Linked DNA regions of Sus scrofa. The protein of the gene in region 1 interacts with the protein of each later gene in a biochemical or structural test. Links are inferred from orthologs where the notes say so. Each region holds a gene or a part of one and is shown in the gene's direction. Other genes may lie near its edges. The genes, in order: TRIM28, CBX5, SIRT1 and FBP1.

What was found.
Region 2: the proteins of TRIM28 (region 1) and CBX5 form a complex in vitro, tested with the Homo sapiens proteins (6 studies listed by BioGRID, with this or other methods). The link is inferred for Sus scrofa from reciprocal best matches to the Homo sapiens genes TRIM28 and CBX5.
Region 3: of the proteins of TRIM28 (region 1) and SIRT1, one has a biochemical effect on the other in vitro, tested with the Homo sapiens proteins (2 studies listed by BioGRID). The link is inferred for Sus scrofa from reciprocal best matches to the Homo sapiens genes TRIM28 and SIRT1.
Region 4: the proteins of TRIM28 (region 1) and FBP1 form a complex in vitro, tested with the Homo sapiens proteins (2 studies listed by BioGRID). The link is inferred for Sus scrofa from reciprocal best matches to the Homo sapiens genes TRIM28 and FBP1.

Annotation. Positions count from the first base shown.
Region 1 is NC_010448.4:63,098,242-63,102,156, forward strand, and holds the end of TRIM28 (transcription intermediary factor 1-beta), read left to right. Parts: intron 1-45; coding exon 46-181; intron 182-257; coding exon 258-374; intron 375-457; coding exon 458-572; intron 573-703; coding exon 704-850; intron 851-939; coding exon 940-1,054; intron 1,055-1,148; coding exon 1,149-1,255; intron 1,256-1,341; coding exon 1,342-1,378; intron 1,379-1,455; coding exon of another isoform or gene 1,456-1,458; coding exon 1,459-1,504; intron 1,505-1,585; coding exon 1,586-1,838; intron 1,839-1,927; coding exon 1,928-2,449; intron 2,450-2,532; coding exon 2,533-2,619; intron 2,620-2,701; coding exon 2,702-2,839; intron 2,840-2,938; coding exon 2,939-3,115; 3' UTR 3,116-3,291; downstream 3,292-3,915. UniProt on the Homo sapiens protein: Nuclear corepressor for KRAB domain-containing zinc finger proteins (KRAB-ZFPs).
Region 2 is NC_010447.5:19,453,064-19,458,152, reverse strand, and holds part of CBX5 (chromobox protein homolog 5), read left to right. Parts: intron 1-1,565; coding exon 1,566-1,666; intron 1,667-3,596; coding exon 3,597-3,747; 3' UTR 3,748-5,089. UniProt on the Homo sapiens protein: Component of heterochromatin that recognizes and binds histone H3 tails methylated at 'Lys-9' (H3K9me), leading to epigenetic repression. In contrast, it is excluded from chromatin when 'Tyr-41' of histone H3 is phosphorylated (H3Y41ph).
Region 3 is NC_010456.5:71,089,396-71,094,940, forward strand, and holds the start of SIRT1 (NAD-dependent protein deacetylase sirtuin-1), read left to right. Parts: upstream 1-1,771; 5' UTR 1,772-1,786; coding exon 1,787-2,198; intron 2,199-4,171; coding exon 4,172-4,288; intron 4,289-5,545. UniProt on the Homo sapiens protein: NAD-dependent protein deacetylase that links transcriptional regulation directly to intracellular energetics and participates in the coordination of several separated cellular functions such as cell cycle, response to DNA damage, metabolism, apoptosis and autophagy.
Region 4 is NC_010452.4:27,611,927-27,617,015, forward strand, and holds part of FBP1 (fructose-1,6-bisphosphatase 1), read left to right. Parts: intron 1-1,616; coding exon 1,617-1,757; intron 1,758-5,089. UniProt on the Homo sapiens protein: Catalyzes the hydrolysis of fructose 1,6-bisphosphate to fructose 6-phosphate in the presence of divalent cations, acting as a rate-limiting enzyme in gluconeogenesis. Plays a role in regulating glucose sensing and insulin secretion of pancreatic beta-cells.

The DNA of each region.
Region 1 (3,915 bases):
GAGGTGGCTGAGGATGAGCTCCAGCTTGATGGTTCCCTCCCCCAGGACCAGCCAAGTCGAGGGACGGTGAGCGCACGGTATACTGCAGCGTGCACAAGCACGAGCCCCTCGTGCTGTTCTGCGAGAGCTGCGACACCCTCACCTGCCGGGACTGCCAGCTCAACGCCCACAAGGACCACCAGTGAGTCCTGAGGCGTGGTGAGGGGGTGCTGCCTGTTTCTGTGCTGGGCGCCCGGCCCACCTTTGTCTGCCCTTAGGTACCAGTTCCTGGAGGATGCAGTGAGGAACCAGCGAAAGCTCCTGGCCTCACTGGTGAAGCGCCTCGGGGACAAGCATGCGACGTTGCAGAAGAACACCAAGGAGGTTCGCAGCTCGTAAGTGTGGATGCCAGGGCTGTGGGGCGGTCCCTGGGTGAGCACCGGCCGCACTGGGCCTGACTGACCCGCTCGGCCCCCAGGATCCGCCAGGTGTCTGATGTGCAGAAGCGCGTGCAGGTGGATGTCAAGATGGCCATCCTGCAGATCATGAAGGAGCTGAACAAGCGGGGCCGCGTGCTGGTCAACGACGCCCAGGTACAGCCTGGGCGGTCCTCCTCTGCCGCCTGCTCCCCCCGCCTGTGGTGGGAGGCTGCCACTGCCAGTCGGTGGCGGGTGGAAGTTGTGCTCTGCTCCTTCCCCGACCCCCATTCCGCCTCCACCTGCAGAAGGTGACTGAGGGCCAGCAGGAGCGCCTGGAGCGCCAGCACTGGACCATGACTAAGATCCAGAAACACCAGGAACACATTCTGCGCTTTGCCTCCTGGGCTCTGGAGAGTGACAACAACACAGCCCTGCTCCTCTCCAAAAAGCTGGTGTGTGCTGGTGTTGGGTTCCAGGTGGGGGCCTCCCAGGACCGCGGGGCCCTCTTGACTGCCCGTGTGCTCGTGTGCCCCCACCCCAGATCTACTTCCAGCTGCACCGGGCCCTCAAGATGATTGTGGACCCTGTGGAGCCACATGGCGAGATGAAGTTCCAGTGGGATCTCAATGCCTGGACCAAGAGTGCAGAGGCCTTCGGTGAGAGGTTTTGTTTTGCCCTTGCTGCTCTTGGTCATCCCAGCCAGCGGTGTCGTGGTGTCGTCTTAGGCTTGTTGTATCTCCGTAACTGCAGGCAAGATCGTGGCAGAACGTCCTGGCACCAACTCCACTGGCCCTGCACCCATGGCCCCTCCTCGGGCTCCAGGACCTTTGAGCAAGCAGACCTCTGGCAGCAGCCAGGTGAGCAGGGGAAGGGATCGGGAGAGGAGAGGGGCGTGGGGTCCTGTGTGGCGCCTTCCCACTGAGGTTCCCTGCTTTGCCCACAGCCCATGGAGGTGCAGGAAGGCTATGGCTTTGGATCAGGTGAGTGGGTCTGTGCCCGGTGGGAGGGTGAGCTCCGCTGTTCTGTGTCCACCCCACCTTCTCCTTTTGTGTCCAAGCAGACGACCCCTACTCGAGTGCCGAGCCCCACGTGTCCGGGGTAAAGCGGTGAGTGTGGCCATCCTTTGGTGACCAGAGGGATGGAAGGGTCACAAGCACACGTGTACTCACGCCAAGCCCCACCCACAGGTCCCGCTCAGGTGACGGCGAGGTGAGCGGCCTCATGCGCAAGGTGCCACGGGTGAGCCTCGAACGCCTGGACTTGGATCTCACCGCTGACAGCCAGCCGCCAGTCTTCAAGGTCTTCCCAGGCAGCACCACGGAGGACTACAACCTCATTGTCATCGAGCGAGGCGCTGCAGCTGCTGCTGCTGGACAACCTGGGACTGCAGCCCCTGGGGCTCCTGGGGCCCCGCCCCTGCCTGGCATGGCCATCGTCAAGGTGAGCCTGCCCTCCGTATTCTTGGCTGGGGAAGGGATGCCATCAGCTGCCCAGGCTGGCACGTCGCTGAACATCCCGCATCCTTGCAGGAGGAAGAAACAGAGGCTGCCATTGGCGCTCCGCCTGCTGCCACTGAGGGCCAGGAGACCAAGCCTGTGCTGATGGCCCTGGCGGAGGGCCCTGGTGCCGAGGGCCCCCGCCTGGCCTCACCCAGTGGCAGCACCAGCTCAGGCTTGGAGGTGGTGGCTCCAGAGGGCACCTCAGCCCCAGCGGGTGGCCCAGGTGCCCTGGATGACAGTGCCACCATCTGCCGTGTCTGCCAGAAACCAGGTGACCTGGTCATGTGCAACCAGTGCGAGTTCTGCTTCCACCTGGATTGCCACCTGCCTGCCCTGCAGGATGTGCCAGGGTGCGAGGCTACGTGGGGTCTGCAGGGTGGAGGGCTGGGCTGGGTCCTTTGCAGCCCCTCATTCTCTGTTCCCCCCAGGGAGGAGTGGAGCTGCTCGCTCTGCCATGTGCTCCCTGACCTGAAGGAGGAGGATGGCAGCCTGAACCTTGACGGTGGAGACAGCACTGGCGTGGTGGCCAAGCTCTCGCCAGCCAACCAACAGGTGAGGGTGGGGGCCCACTCCCTTGGTTTGGCCAGCAGCCCCCACTCCCCCTTGATGTTCTGGTGTCCATGTAACATCCACAGAAGTGTGAGCGCGTCCTCCTGGCCCTCTTCTGCCATGAGCCCTGTAGGCCCCTGCACCAACTGGCTACCGACTCCACATTCTCTCTGGTGAGTTTGGGACTTCGGAGGATGAGAGGGAGGCGCGGGGGCTGCTTGGCCTCACCTTCCCCCCCGGGGCTTCTCCCTGCAGGATCAGCCTGGCGGCACCCTGGACTTGACCCTGATCCGAGCCCGTCTCCAGGAGAAGTTGTCACCTCCCTACAGCTCCCCCCAGGAGTTTGCCCAGGACGTGGGCCGCATGTTCAAGCAGTTCAACAAGCTGACGGAGGTGAGCCGTTGGGGCGGGGGCGCGTGTTGGGGAGAGGGGGCCGATGGCAGGGCGGCGGGAGGACGAGGACCCATCCGTCCACTGTCGTCTGCCTGGCAGGATAAGGCCGACGTGCAGTCCATCATTGGCCTGCAGCGCTTCTTTGAGACTCGCATGAACGAGGCCTTTGGTGACACCAAGTTCTCTGCTGTGCTGGTGGAGCCTCCGCCACTGAGCCTGCCGGGTGCTGGCCTGAGTGCCCAGGACCTATCCAGTGGCCCCGGTGATGGCCCCTGAGGCTGGGCAGCCCCCAAGCTGGCCCAGCCTGGTTCTGTTCTCTGTCCTGTCACCCCTCTTCCCGCTCCTGTTCCTCTTCCCTCCGGTGGCCTGGTTCCACTCCTTGGTGGCCCATACCCCAGCCCTTCACAATATGGTTTTTACTTCTGTGGATTTAATAAAAACTTCACCAGTTACTTAGGTTTTGTTTGGTGGGGCAGTGGTCCTGGGGGCCTGGTCTCTATATATCCTTTCTCCCAAAGCCCTGACAAGCCAGTTAGGGGTGGGGTTCTCGTTGCCAGCCATGCCACCCCTTCTGTCTAAGAGGTGGGGAAAAACCCCCTTTCCTCCTGGGCCCTTCCTAGTGTGGGGGCTGCCTTGGTGGAGAGGATGGTCCCGGGGCAGGTAGGCAGACCCAGGCTGGCCTGTGGCCCTTGCCAGTGCTTCCTTTCTCTGTCAGTGACCTGGGCAGGCTGAGACTGCTGCTGGGCTAAGCTGAGCCAGACACTATACCTGGGGTCCAGCCAGGCTTGGGTCTTAGGGTTGTGTCAGGGTATCTGCAGCGCCTCCCACCTCAGGGTGCTAGTGTTAGGCCTTTGGAGACAGAAGGGGTGCCGGGCCATTATTCACAGCTGACCTTTACCTCGCAAGCCTTGAAAACCTGAGAGGACTTGGCCTGTGCAGCTCCGCCCAGACCAGCGGAGAACCCAGCCCACCCCGTCCCTACCCTTGGTTGCTCTGGTGCACGTGACGACGTGCCTGCCGCCGAGGGCTCCCGCTGTGGAGGCCCACATCAGGACAGTCACAAAGGCCCAGACCTA
Region 2 (5,089 bases), on another chromosome or scaffold:
GCGGCTGTCAGGTAGGCAGCTGGGAAGATGGGTGATTGTGTGTTTTAAGGGTGCAGGAGGGGATTGCGTTTCTTTCTTTAGACCACTGCAGAAGAAATTTGTTAGTCGGCATTATGCCTGATTTAAGATTACTGCCTGTGTGATGATTTTAGCATTTTCCTCGCCTCGGCTCCTTTTCAGCATCTCGAACATTTTTCTTTCCTTCCCTCCCTATGTGGCAAACTGTTTTCAGCCGCCAGCTATGATTTACGACTCAGTTCGTGCGCCAGCATTCCAGCTGTGAGCAGCTGTGTGCACATCTGGGAACCTCCTCCTTTTAAGCACCCCCAAAAGAGGCTATGTTTTTAAGTCTGTATGTCCCCTGATCCATGCGTGGAATTTCCTTCCCAATGTTGGATTCTGGTATCTTTGGGGACCACCTGGACGCTGAATGCTTTGTATCTCAGAAGAAAGCAAGGCGAATATCAGAGCAAAGAGATTTTATTATGAAAATCAGATATCAGAGATTTAGTTCAATTGGGCAGTCTTTCTAAATCTTTTTTTGTATTGACACTAAATAAGCTTGCATTATCTTCCATAAAAAGGTTTTTTTTAATTACCTGGTTTGTATAAAATTTCACCATTTTGCTCTCACAAGTGGCAGCACACCTGAATCAGACTCTAATGCTCCTTGTCTGGACTGCGTGATTATCGTTTGACCAAGTCTGAATAATTCCTTACAGAATTATCAGTCTAGTTCTGCTCTCTTTTTTTATTTTTGTTTTTTTCGGGGGGCTTTTTTTGGCTGCAGCAAGCAGCAGCTTAATGTGGGATCTCAATTCCCAGACCAGAGATTGAACCTGGGCTGCAGCAGTGAAAGCGTGCGTCCTAACCACTAGACTACCAGGAAAGTCCCCAGTTCTGCTCTCTAATGCAATTGATCTATCCCCTTCAGGAAGGGATAGACATAGACCAGGGCCTCTTCCCCAAATGTGTGGGTGTTACAGTATGTGAGCTCTGAAAAGAAATTTTCTGTTTTATGATAATGCCTTGAATTATCCTTATCTCTGTTCTTCCATAAGCATAGATGACTCTGGGAAAAGAAGTATTAAAAATATTGGTCAGTGTTAGGTGAACTAAAAGTCTAAAAAAATAAAGATTAAGAGGTTTTATATTTGAAGTTTATAAAATGAAAAAGGGTTTCTTTCAGGTAACCCCTGTGGACTTGTTTATCAACCCAGAAGGAACAATTTAGCAGTAGTCCATTTATAATAACAAGATTAAATGAGGGGATAGAGGATTTTCTATATGATGACTCCAGAATATTTTAAAGGATATTAAATAGTTTTAGGGGCCACTCCAAATCCTTTGAAGGAATACTGGAAGGACAGCTGCAACTTCCTGTAGAAATATCTCTGTCACTGGCTGATGCAGTATTGTATTTAGATCCTAAGAATTTTATGAATTGGTGACAAAAGTGATATCTAGTGATATTAACTTAGGTTGTGCTTTGTTGAGCTGAGAAACGGGAAGGTTTTTTGACTGTTATCTCCAAGCTGTAACCTTTCTTCATCTTCTATTTATAGCAGAGCAATGATATCGCTCGGGGCTTTGAGAGAGGATTGGAACCAGAAAAGATCATTGGGGCGACAGATTCCTGTGGCGATTTAATGTTCCTAATGAAATGGTGAGAGAGATTGGGCCTCACTCTGCAATTGTGTTTCTTTGCCAGTGACTTGAATTTGTACGGAAGATAGGGAGAGAAGACTGAGTAATTTTGATTAAGAATTTTGATCGTCAGGGAGCTAAATTTTTAGCTGATACCAACTGTCAGTATTAAATGGGAATTATAGTTCAGAATGGATTTAAGACATTTGAAAGCTTTAGTATTAAGCCAAATTATAATATATTAGCACACATACTAATGTGTAGATTTGAGGTAGGAAACATATAAACATGACCTAACCATTTAATTTACACAGTTGTGAATCATTTACCATCAGACCACGAGCCTGTGGCCATGGAATAGGAATTGAGTGAGGCTTTCTGCCATCACTGAGGACCAAGACCACTCAATAATGTCTAAAAGAGAAGAGTAATCTCAACAAAAAGCATTAAGAATAATACTGGCCAAAGCACAAATTATTTCATCCGGTAGAGGGAATGGATCTTAGAGGAAAGTATAGTTACTTCCCCTCAATTTGGTTTCTTAAAGACAGAGTGATTTATAGTGTGGCCCTCACTACCTCTCTATTTCCAAGTGTTCTGGGCTTGTAATTTAAGTTTGGTCTCTAAATAGAGAGTTCATGCTACAGTGCCACTAAGGAAGCTAATTACCTTAGAAGTTGTATAGTCAAGAGGTTTAATATTTTATCTGATCGAAATTTTGTTGGTAAATTACCCAGAAGTCTGTATTTGAAGAATCACTATACTCTGTCTGCATAAGGAGCTGTATTGACTGCTTTTCCCACTCAGCCATATGTGGTACTTATGATTTACATTCACATGTTAACTAGCTTTTTCCACCACAGTCCAAATTTGGGTAGCTGCTCTTAGCGATGTGTTTCCCTCCCCACCCCCCTTCTCATCCATAATGCTTACCTCTATGAATTCAGCATCTCTGTTTCCTAGGAAAGAGGTTAGCTGTCTTTGCTCACATCTCGGTGGGATTTTAATTTAAAAATTTTTTCTTTCTTGATTTGGATTTCTGGTTAAGGAACTTACTGGATTTCTTTTTCATATTGTAATTGAAATTTGCATTTAATGCCTACATTTTATTTTAGTGACTAGATTTTACATTCGTCCTCACTCTGTTTTATAAGGACTGTTGCTGACCGAAATTTCTACTTTCTTACTGTTCTAATCCACAGTTCTGACCAAAAGGATGAGTGTTTAAAAGGTCACGCAGGAATTCCCCTACTGGCTGGGCAGAAACGAATCTGACTAGTAACCAAGAGGTTGAGGGTTTGATCCCTGGCCTCGCTCAGTGGGTTGAGGATCCGGTGTTGCCGTGAGCCATGGTGTAGGTCACAGACGCGGCTCGTGTACTGCATTGCCTGGATACCGTGGCTGTGGCGTAGGCTGGCAGCTGTAGCTCCGATTGGACCCCTAGCCTGGGAACTTCCATATGCCTCGGGTGTGGCCCTAAAGAGCAAAAGCCAAAAAATAAATAAATAAAAGGCCACATGATGAGGAGAGTTAGGACCTTTCAATGATCCAGATGATCCAAAAAGTGGATTGAGCAATTTATGCTTAATCAATAGGGCTGAATGTAGGTTTGATTGTGTCTTTGCTCACATGCTCATACCCACACATAAAAATTATGGGAGCAGAATTTATATAGTAGTTTAATTTTCAGCCTTTTGGTTAAGCCTGCTAGGTTTCCCATCTATTCTAGCTTAAGTCTTCTGATGTGGTAGTCGAATGATGTTTACTAACTCGATTCATTTACTTAAATTTCTCCTTGAAAATGTGGGACTGTTAGGATCCTTTTCCCTTTGAAGTCAAGATGGAGAAGAAATCAAGTCAGCTAAATCATAATTTAATGACATAAACCTGTGTTTGGACACTCTCTCACCTTTCCTCTCATTCTAAATCTCATAATTCTTTCTCTCCAGGAAAGACACAGATGAAGCAGACCTGGTTCTTGCAAAAGAAGCTAATGTTAAATGTCCACAAATTGTGATAGCATTTTATGAAGAGAGACTGACGTGGCATGCATATCCTGAGGATGCGGAAAACAAAGAGAAAGAAACAGCAAAGAGCTAAAGGAGGGGGTGGTCTCTGTCATTTCTCTTTGTACATAATACATTCACCTTCCTGCCTCCTCTCCCTTCTACCCACCCCCTTCTATCCTAAACACATCCATAAAAAATGTGCTTATCACTGTGCTCCACAGGAGAAATGTTGGTATTGGTTCTCTTGTAACATAACTGATGGTCTGATTCATGATAAGTGTCTCTCTGTGAAGACCAGGCATTTACATACTGTGTGTAATTCCCACAGTTTTTTCCTTTGCCCTGCTCTCTTCCTTCTGCTCCCCTGTGACCTCAAGATGAGTTTTAACTTTTTAATCACTTTAGAGTTTTGATCTTCAGGGTTGGTTGCTTTTTAGATGGGGGATTTTGTTACATTGATGAAGAATTTTGGTTTCTTGCTTTGGCTCTTAGAACACGTTGATGACCAGCTAGCCTTTGTTTTGAGATGTTGGGATGGAAATGATGTTGCCCATCTTTTGAAAAAGCCAATAGCAACTGCCTACCTGTTGGGGCTTCCCCCAACCTCATTCAGCTCTACCCAGGAGAATACAGGGTTTCTGGTGTGGTCTTCTGGGCCACCCTCTGTTGTTCATCCTCACCCATCCTCCAGAATAGCTCCATCCTTTGGAGGACTTGAAATTTTACATTCAGATTTGTCAAGGCACTCCTTTTAGCCCCAGGACTCTTGGCCTTGTTTCTTAGCTGTCCCTGATTCTGCTTCTGCAAGTTGGTGTAGTCTGTCATAAAATGACAAAATTATTAACTGTGGAGATTTTTAGCTATTAGTACATGAGGATGGTGGGGTAGGATACAGTTGTCTTTATTATCACATGTGGTACATATGTATTATTTCCTTTCACCCCTCCCATTTGGGCTATGTATTTATGTAGGTGTGAGTGACTGCCTGGTGCTTGCTTGTGCCAAGGTGCTAGGCACCCTCCAACCCTGCCAACTTTTGTGGCCTCCCAAAGCATTCCTGTTACCAAAGAGGCTTCAAACCTGACCCTCACTTCTCAGTGGACCCACGTTTCTCCTCCATGCCATTATTTTCAGTGGGGAATTCTTGGAGGGGAGCCATTGGCCACCATATCAATTTTAAATATTCATAGTGTCTATAATCATAAGTTTCCTGCTTTGTTGACTCTTGGATTTGCCACCAAGAGTCCCCAAAGTATTAGTGCTCTTACTTTTTTTCCACCTTTAAACTCGTAGTGGTATCTTATTTTTTCAGTGCATTTCTATGGAAATTATCACCTTGGAGAGTGACAGGCCCCGGCATTAATTAGCATGTTGACACAACCTCTCCCTTCTTGGCAAGATAGTTCTCTTTTGGCTTCTTCCTGCTCTGCCCT
Region 3 (5,545 bases), on another chromosome or scaffold:
CAGTGTGAACTCCTCAACATTTTATTTATTATATCCTACCCACATAGTTGAGAATCAATTTATGAAGTATTTTGTAAGATAGATAAAGTGGGGAGAAAACAGGGCTAAGTATGTCATCCAGGAAGGGCGAGATACCTGTGTACTTAGGAATTGGAAAGTGTATAGGAGGGAAGAAAGGACAGCAGGATTTGGTCACTGATTGATTAGAGAGCATCAATCTGAAGGAACACCTCAATCATGATTTCAAGGCCTCTAGGAGGAAAGACAGCCTCACTTTCAGAAACCACGCAACCACTTGTAAGGGGAGAGTCTCAGTTTAATTTGAGGTACAAAGAGATTTGGGTTTAGATGGGACATTGGAGATACATTTTCGAAATTATAACTTTTTTTTTTAAAGGAGGAAACATCTTAGATTGCTTTCTTAAGTTCAAACAAGTAATTGGCATGGTAGAGGCAGGACCCACTTTAAGCTTAAGGGCTGATTTATTGTAAATTCAGAGAGGTCCCTTCAGTGGCTAGAAACGCCATGCTGCAGAGGCAGATGCCTACCAAACTTGGCCATACTATAACACATCCTTAGTTAAGGTAGGCTATGAAGTCACAAGAGTTCTGGAATGTCAGGAAAAGTGGAAAGTAGAAGGCCTTCAAGTAGGGCAGGACTAATATTTTAGCTCTATTTAGCCCTCACTTTATATCCAGCAATCTTATGTAACTATTTTTTTTTCCCAGCCTGACCTGCTGCATGTGGAAGTTCTGGGGCCAGGGATTGACCCAAGCCGCTGCAGTAACAACGCTAGATCCCAAGACTGTGCCACAAGAGAACCCGCTACCTTAATTCTCAGCACAACTCTACCATTGCAGAGATTAGGACAGTGGGTGTAGAAAGGCTAAATAAATGGCTCAAGGTCAATCAGAAAGACCTCAAGTTCGAAACCAAACCGATGTTTATAAGGGCCAAGTCATGCTCAGTTCAGCTCTCCTCATGAGGCCCCACTTGGCCCAATATACTCATTTTGAAGCCCAGAAAAGATAAATCACACACATTTGGAGCTAAGTTGGGGCCTGAAATCGAACAGGCTGATCCCTACCCGGCCCCCCACCGTCAAACCTCTTTCTAGGGCAGATACATGCTTTTAATGGTCTAACAATGTATATCACCCTCTGAGTAATGGAGAGAGGGAGAAAAATAAACCGGCTAAGGAGAGAAGCAAGCAGAAAATAGGAGCTGAAGAGTACCCGCCAGAACGGTTTGAGGAGGGTGAAGAGTGAGGTGTGTGTCCTTTTGCCTCTACTCATACAGGTTAACAAAACAGACCCATCACCTAGCTTATTTGGCCAGCTTCATTCCCTATCGCCTTTCAGGAACTAAGTTTTAAGCCTTAACGTTAAGTCCAGAAAAGACTAAGTGAGGAGAGCAAGGTGTGCACTTTAGGCAGAAGTGGAAATTCGCAGTGCAAACCAAAACTTGAGCTAACCGGGCAGCAGTGATTTGAGGACAGCTTGAAAGAGAAGTTTGGCTGAGAGAAGCGCCTGCAGCGGAGGGGTGGGGCCACAGCACCCTGCAGCGTTTGCTCCTGGCCCCCACCGCCTCCGCTTGCCACGTGACCCGCCGTGTTGTGGTCCGGCCCGCGTGGGTGGCGGGAGCTGCGGGTGGGCGGGGGCGAGGAGGGGCGGGTCACGTGACGGGGTTTAAATCTCCCGCAGCCGGAGCCGCGGGGGCGCCAGTGCCGCGAGTCGAGCGGGAGCAGAGGAGGTGAGGGAGGAGGGCCAGAGAGGCAGTTGAAAGATGGCGGACGAGGCGGCGCTCGCCCTTCAGCCCGGCGGCTCCCCCTCGGCGGTGGCGGCTGAGAGGGAGGCCCCGTCGCCCCCCGCCGGGGAGCCGCTCCGCAAGAAACCGCGGAGAGACGGCCCGGGCGTCGGGCGGAGCCCGGGCGAGCCTGGTGGGGCGGCCTTGGAGCGTGAGCTGCCGGCGGCGGCGGGCGGCTGCCCGGCGGCGGCGGTGCTGTGGCGGGAGACCGCTGCGGGCGGGGAGCGGGAGGCCCAGGCGGCTGCGGCGGCAGGAGAAGGAAACAATGGGCCGGGCTTACAGGGCCTATCCCGGGAGGCGCCCCCGGCCGACGACTTCTACGACGACGACGACGACGACGAGGGCGAGGAGGAGGAAGAGGCGGCGGCAGCGGCGGCTATTGGGTACCGAGGTGCGCAGGGCGCGGGCGGCCGGGACTGCGCATCCCCCCGCCTCCTCTCGGGGCCCCTCCTGATGTGGGGTGGGGGAGTCTCGGGCAGGCTGGGGGCTCGTGGCTGGCTTTGTAGCGTCCCCCTCCCAACCAGGGCCCTCAGCTGCGCGCCTCCGCGGCTGCAGGCCTGGCTGCAGGAGCGGCCCGTCGACTCTATCCCTCCCTCGCCCTCTCCCCGCCCTCCTCCCCTCAGTCCCAGGCCCGCCCCGGCGGCCTTGCGCTTTGCGCAGCCGCGGGGCTGGCGAGCCTCGCAGTGGATTTTAAAATAAGTTTCTCTTTCCTCCTACTCTTTTAGCATATTGCTTTTGTTAAGTGTTTTTTGCTTCTCCGCCCTTTCTCCCCTCGCCCCGCACAGTTAAACCTGCAACTTTTGACTGTCCCTGATAACAACCATTTGCAGTTGACTTTGCAAACTGACACCTGTGCAATTTGTTGTTGTTTTTGAGGGCCTTTATTTATAAACTTGTTTTGAAATTTAAAAGAGTAAAGCTGTTTCTAAAGTCACAACCTGCAAAATTTGAAGAGCATAGCTGTTTCTACAGGCATCACTTTGGTGCAGTTAATAGAGGGCATAGGAGAGAAATAGGTTTTAGAATACTTTGTGTGAATAGTGTTTTTTCTCTAAATCATATTCTTATAGTGGTTTTTAGATTAAGTGTCTGTGTGTGTGTATGTAGCCCCGAAATACGAGTTGACGCTTTTCTGACCTACTAAAGCAGATACAGTATATGATGGTTGTATATGTCTCGTCATCTTTGAGTGTGTCATGTTTTCTAGCTGGATAGACGTGTTTTTATTAATCTTTTATTGGTAAATACAATCTGGGCCATTTGACCTGTGTAAAGCTTACGACGTGTGCATTAGGGACTGGAGTGGAAAAACGACCCCTGTTTTCAAGGAACAGTTTAATAGTGGGAATGAATAGTGCAAATATCTTAGTGTATGTTTAGTATTATGTATTATAAATGTATTTTTACATGTACATATATGCAAGTTGCCGTAGTTATATTTGCACCACCTTTGAATAAGTTTTTTGGAGTTTTTTGGCTGCACCTGCAGCATGTCGAAGTTCCTGGGCCAGGGATCCAACACTCCCCACTGCAGCGACAACTTGAGATCTTAACCCACTCCACCACAGCGGGAACTCCTGAATTCTATTATTTGTGATCGACAAATTCCAATTAACTAGGTTATTTATTACTTTTTGTATTTTTAAGTAGACTTAATTTCTTGCTCAATTTTGATGAACTCTAACTTAGATTCTGGGCAGGATCCCTAAAGATGAGGATATACTGTTCCTGGGAATGATGCAAGCTGATTCAGTAGGCATTCTTTACACACTCAGTGTGAATGTTAAGTGCTTTGTTTATTTAAAAATTTTATGACCGAACCTGGGCCTATGGGAGCTCCTAGGCTAGGGACTGAATCCAAGCCACAGCTGAGACCTATACTAAGGCAGCGGAATGGGATTCTTTAACCCACTGCACTGGGACAGGGATCCAACCTGCATCTCAGTAGCAACCCAGGCAGGTACAGGCTTAACCCATTGCCCCACAGTAGTAACTCCCAAGTGCTTTATTCATTGGAAATTCTTACATCATAATCATTACAGTTCTTCATACATTTTATTTATTTATTTTATTTTTTAGGGCTGCACTTGCAGCATATGGAAGTTCCGAGGCCAGGGGTCGAATCTGAGCTGCAGCTGCCAGCCGATGCCACACTAATGCCAGATCTGAGCTGCATCTTTGACCTGCACCACAGTTCACTGCAACTCTGGATCCTTAACCCTCAGAGGAGGACAGGGATCGACCTGCTCATGGATATTAGTTGGGTTCTTAACCAACTGTGCCATAACAGGAACTCTCTTATTCATACATTTTAAATGGTAGATTGTTTCATCAGCCTTGAGTTACTTTTGGCTTCTTTTGCAGATAACCTTCTGTTTGGTGATGAAATCGTCACCAATGGTTTCCATTCTTGTGAAAGTGATGAGGATGATAGAGCCTCACATGCCAGTTCTAGTGACTGGACTCCAAGACCACGGATAGGTATGGTTTTCACAGCCTAAGCTATCTTTTTTAGTATTTTCTTTTTAAGTCAACTAAAAATAAAATTCTCTGTCCCCTTATGGTCTGGTGATGAGGTTCTTAGGTGTTTAACGAAATTTACTATCAGCTTGTTTCTAGGGAAGGTAGAGCTTTGAACTGCTTTTGTTTCTAAATAGCATGGGCCTGTCTAAGCTGACCTCTGGTATTTCTCAAATAACCAGGTCCTTCTCACACTTGTGGGCCTTTACACTTGGGCCCTCTGTGTGAAATGGTCTTTTTTTTTTTTTTTTTTTTAAATAATCTTTTCTGGCTGACAGGGGCCACATGGAGTTCCTCAGGCCAGGGATGAGATCCCAGCTGCCATTTTGACCTGTATCCTAGCTTCGGCTACATCAGATCCTTAACACACTGTGCCATAAGAGAGGTCCAAATTTGTTCTGTTTTAGGCATTACCTTAAAACTGTTGTTTGATGCTGTTGCCACGATCGAACCTGGGTCCCATGCTCCAGAGACACTGCTGCTCTCTTGTGCCACAGAGGGATCTCTTCCGGTTAGAGTATCTTGCTTTCTTACTTCATTGCCCTTCTGTATTTTTTTCTTTTTAACACTTATTTATTAACAGTCTCTCCGTGTAACTTTTTTATTGACTGTTTTTAGAATATAAGTCCTATGGGGGTAGGGATTTCTGACTGATTTGTATACTGTTTTGTCAGTGCCAGGAAGAGTGGTTGACACATAATTTGTCCTTAGTAAATATTTATTAAGTATTTGGATGCATTGGGAAACTACCTTGAAGATGAGCACACCATCAGTTTTTTATACCTAAGTAGTAACATGACCATCTCAAAATGATCTTTTTCTTAATGTGCTTTTTTTTGTTGTTGTTGGCTTGTTTTTTTAGGGCCGCAGGTGCAGCATATGGAAGTTCCCAGGCTAGGGTTCAAATTGGTGCTGTAGCTGCTGACCTACACCACAGTAACACTGGATCCTTAACCCACTGAGCGAGGCCGGGGATTGAACCTGTGTCCTTATGGATGCTAGGTGGGTTTATTAACCACTGAGCCACAACAGGAACTCCTTAATGTACTCTCATTTAAAAAAATATATACTGGCGTTCCTGTTGTGGCTCAGCGGTTAATGAACCCATCTAGCATCCATGAGGACACAGGTTTGATCCCTGGCCTCGTTCAGTGGGTTAAGCATCCGACATTGCCCTGAGCTGTGGTGTATGTTACAGACCGGCTTGGATCCCGAGTT
Region 4 (5,089 bases), on another chromosome or scaffold:
GGCTAGGGGTCGAATTGGAGCTGTTGCTGCCAGCCTACATCACAGCCACAGCTACACCAGATCCTAGCCACGTCTGCGACCTACACCACAGCTCATGGCAACGCCGGATCCTTAACTCACTAAGCAAGGCTAGAGGTCGAACCCGCAACCTCATGGTTCCTAGTTGGATTTGTTTCCGCTGCACCATGGCAGGAACTCCTGTCTATTGAATCTTAATACACAAGATAAGTAATATTAATAGCTACTATTTGTTGAGTCCTTTTTATATGCCAGGCCCTATTTTCATTGCATGATGCTTAATTTTCAGTACCTCTCCTTTAAGATAAAGAAACAAGAGGTTAACTTGCCCAGGGTCCCACAGAGCTAGGAAGTTTCAGCTTCAGAAACCACATTCTATATGTCTGTTATTAAGTATCCCTGTGTCCAGTTAAGGGAAGCAAATTGGATTCTGAAGCTGCTAGAGCACTTCCGAAACCCTGCTTTTAGCTGTGGGGTCTGGATATCTTTAAAGGATGTTGCAAATGAGAATGTATCATATCACCTGCGGCATATGGAGGTTCCCAGGCTAGGGGTCGAATTGGAGCTGTAGCTGCTGGCCTATAGCAACACCAGATCTGACCCACGTCTGTTACCTACACCACACCTCATGGCAATACCGGATCCTTAAGGCACTGAGCAAGGCCAGGGATCGACTCTGCGTCCTCATGGATGCTGGTCAGATTCGTTTCCACTGAGCCACGATGGTAACTCCTAAAATGTATTTTTTGGAGTTCCTGTCGTGCCTCAGTGGTTAACGAATCCAACTGGGGACCATGAGGTTGCGGGTTCTTTCCCTGGCCTCACTCAGTGGGTTAAGGATCTGGCGTTGCCATGAGCTGTGATGTAGGTTGCAGACTCGGCTTGGATCTGGTGTTGCTGTGGCTCTGGCATAGGCTGGTGACTGCAGCTCCGATTAGACCCCTAGCCTGGGAACCTCCATATGTCGCGGGTGCAATCCTAGAAAAGACAAAAAAAAAAATGTACTTTTTATTGTAGGTCATGGTCCCCCAAAATGGAAAGTGTTTGCCCTACATGGTAATGACTTTGGAGAAGTGGTCTCCATTGCTGTATTTCTGAGAATCTCTTTGATGAGGGAGTATGGACCACACGGCTCACTGGAGTATATGCTGCAACTGGCAGGAGCTCATGAAATTGATTTCCTCACCAGACTCATAGCCCTGCAGCCCAGGCTTAATTTGTTTAAATAAAGATGGAGTAGGCAGGGGGAAGGCATTGATGCCTGTAATCAGATTAAATTAGTGGGCGCTGGCCAGGAGGCACGTTCTTTTCTGAAAGTGATAATGGCGAAATGAAGGACTATCAAATTAATAAAATTGGAGGAGGACTCTGATTGGCGAGAAGGCTCCAGATGCAGGGGGTTGTTGGGAATGCTGCTGTGGTAATATAATCAGGATATTACTGACGTGTGGAAGAAGGCCCCCCTCCGGGAAGATGCCCTCTTTCATGGGGAGAGCACCTTGCTAACGCATCTTGCTAGTGTGTGAACGGGAAAAGAGAACCCACCAAACAGACCAGAACCAAACCAAAGACGTGTTTTATTTTCTTTCTTGCCCCAGAATTCAACTGATGAACCTTCTGAGAAGGACGCACTGCAGCCAGGCCGGAACCTGGTGGCAGCTGGCTATGCGCTCTATGGCAGTGCCACCATGTTGGTCCTGGCCATGGTGAATGGAGTCAATTGCTTCATGCTGGACCCGGTGAGAGACCCTGGGGGATGTTAGGTGCTTGCTTGGCTGGCGGCCGTGAGTGTCTGTTGTGTGTCTTGGTGGGGGGGGGTACCTAGAGGTGCAAGATGAACCCCCTGGAGGGACAGAGATGATGGGGTGAGGGGTTGGGGGGGAGATGGAGGGACAACATATACATGATGAAAGGGTTATCAAGGTGAGGCAGGATGTCTGTCCAGAGCATGGGGGAAGTCTTTGTTCCAAGAAGATTTTTTTTTTTTGCTCTTTAGGGCCGCACTCGTGGCACATGGAAGTTCCCAGGCTAGGGGTCAAATCAGAGGTACAGCTGCTGGCCTACACCACAGCCACAGCAACACAAGATCCGAGCTGGTCTGCGATCTACACCACAGCTCATGGCAATGCTGGATCCTGAACCCACGGATCGAGGCCAGGGAACGAACCTGCATTCTCATGGGACCTCGTCAGGTTCATTAACCACTGAGCCACACGGGAACTCCCAAGATGAATTCTTCAGAGCAGACATTACTTGGCCGACTCAGATGCCCACAGGGCCAGGCAGGCCATGAAAATGAGTGGCGTCTGCTGGGGAAAGACAGCCAGGCGGTGGTGGGGTAATGGTGGGGTGCTGGGGACCTGGGGATGTCCAGCCGTTGTTACTCCTTACGAATAGTGGCTCCATCCTGCCAAGGCTTCCAGGGTTTCAACAAACACTGGATTTTTTAGAAAACGTAGTGTTTCTGGATTTGTACAACACTGTGCGAGCCAACTAAAATACATTTATGGACCAGATGGGGCCCGAGGCGGGTCTGCTTGCCACCTACTCTATCCATTACCAGCATCTTTGCCTGAGCTGAACGGGGGTCCCAACGGATGCAGTGAACTGCCGCGTTTCTTCAGAATTAGCTCCCAGATTCATCTAAGGTCCTACACGTGTGCTCACACCTTCAGTGAACCCTTGTGGTTTTGAGAAGGCTTTGACGAACCCAAGGAATTGAAAATAAAGAAGGAAATGAAGCTAATTCCTTAGTCCACCTTAGAGAGAAAAGCTCCATTATGGGAAAGGAGCCCAAGGTGCCATGAAAAATATACATGAACCGTTTTAACTTGTGGGTAATTTCTTCCACATGTCAATCAATTGGAGTTGTTCATTTATTCTGTTCATGGACATTTTCAGCCAAGCAGCTAAACTGACCAAAGAAATCTCTTTAAATCTTTGGCCCAACTAAACCTACCATTGAGAGGGATTCCATAGACTCATCTCCAAGAGGTTGACACATTTATTATGCATTGGGTCCAGTGTCCCAAGAGAAAAAGAATTGGGTTTATAAATACCTTTCAGGTTTTGTGGTTTTTGTTTTTGTTTTTGTTTTTTTGTTTTTTTTTTTTGCTTTTTAGGGCTGACCTCATGGCATATGGAGGTTCCCAGGCTAGGGGTCAAATTGGAGTTACAGCTGCTGGCCTACACCACAGCTCGCGGCAACACTGGATCCTTAACCTACTGAGCGAGGCCAGGGATCGAACCCACAACCTCATGGTTCCTAGTTGGATTCGTTTCCGCTGCACCAAGACAGGAACTCCTATAAATATCTTTCAGTTTTAGAATCGTCCTCAGATGACACGAATGGAATCCATTATGGATTTGGTGCTTTTTGCTGACAAACCGAACACCGGGTACCAACAGCCGCCAGAATCTTGTGAGGGGCAGTTTGCTGGTGGTGAGGCCTCGGGTCTGTGGCTGGCAGGTCCTGTACGTCAGGATGTAGGCATCTTTGTCCCCTGCACTCTTGCACAAGTGGACTTTGCCTCCTTAGCACTGGAAGTACCAATGCTTAATAAATAAACAAGAGTAGGGAAACAGCACCAGCCTCCCGAGGAGGTGATTGATCTCAGGGGAAAACAGTGGCGGAACTGGAGCAAAGTTCACGCTGAGCCCAGGGTGCAGTTTCCAAAAGCACTGATGTCTGCGGATTTCTGGTCACTTCTCTCTTGGCTTTGAGTTGATGGATGTGGAGGACACATTAAATCTCTTCTTGTTTCCAGATCGCAGACTTTGTCTCTGAGAGCAAGTCTCCGCGTGTTTCATAGTCTCTTGCCCTCCTCACAGCTGATGGCCCCTCGGTGTTTGGGAGAACCATGCAGGGTGCCTGTAATACTCCTTGATGGCTGCCTGCCCTCCCCGGATCTGAGGCACCCTTGGCTCCTGATGCCTGCAGGGAGGAAAGGGGGCGAGCCTTGCATCAGCTTAGAGCTTCCTTTTCTTTTCTCTTCTTCTCTCTTACTTTCTCTTCTTTTTTTTTTTTTTTTGTCTCTTTTTAGGGCTACATTTGCGGCATATGGAAGTTCCCAGACTAGGGGTCAAATTGGAGCCATAGCTGTTGGCTTACACCACAACCACAGCAACCCAGAATCCAAACTGCATCTGTGACCTACTCTACAGCTCATAGCAATGCCGAATCCTTAACCCACTGAGTGAAGCCAGGGACTGAACCCGCATCCTCATGGATATTAGTCAGGTTCATTTACCACTGAGCCTCGTTCCTTTCCTTCCCTTCTGTTTCTTTTTGTTTCCTTTCTTTTTTTATGGCTGCAACCACAGCATACACAAGTCCCCAGGCCAGGGATTGAATGGGAGCTGCAGCTACAACCTACACAGCAGCAGTGCTGGATCCTTTAACCCACTGCACCAGGCGGGAATCAAACCCATGCCTCTGTCGTGACCTGAGCGGCTGCAGTTGTATTCTTAACCCACTGTGCCACAGCAGGAACTCCGTTTTCTTTTCATCTTGGCTTTCAGTTTCTGCTGAAAAGACGACAACAGCTTTATTTGCATTTCTCACGTGCTTTCATATATGAAAAGCTTCTCAGTCTCCCATGTCTCTGTATCAGAGAGCTAAGCTCCTTCACAGCTGGGATGCTCTGGCCAGCTCCCAGGGCAGGGCATCTGCAAAGCATGGCTTCATGAGCATCTACTGTGTGATGACTTCGTTTTTTTGGACTTTTACCAAAAAAATAAAAATAAATGAACCAGTCACAGTGATACCTTTCAGTGATCACCGTTAATGCGAGTCTCTTTTCTCTCCCAACCCTCCACTCTTGCTCCCTGTCTTCCTTTCTAGCTCCAACACGCTCCACATTGGCAGGAACTGGTCTTTGTTATGGGGATAAACGGCTGGGGAGAGATGTGTTGATCTTCCCTTCTGAACTCTTGCCAGGGGGCAGATCCTCTGTCACCCTCTTACTGGAGACCCTTAAGAGCCCCAAACAGTTCCTGGTCCAGAGCCACAGGAGTTATGTGACAGCTTCCTCCCAAATTCCAATCTCCTTTGAAGAACCTAAGCCCTAAA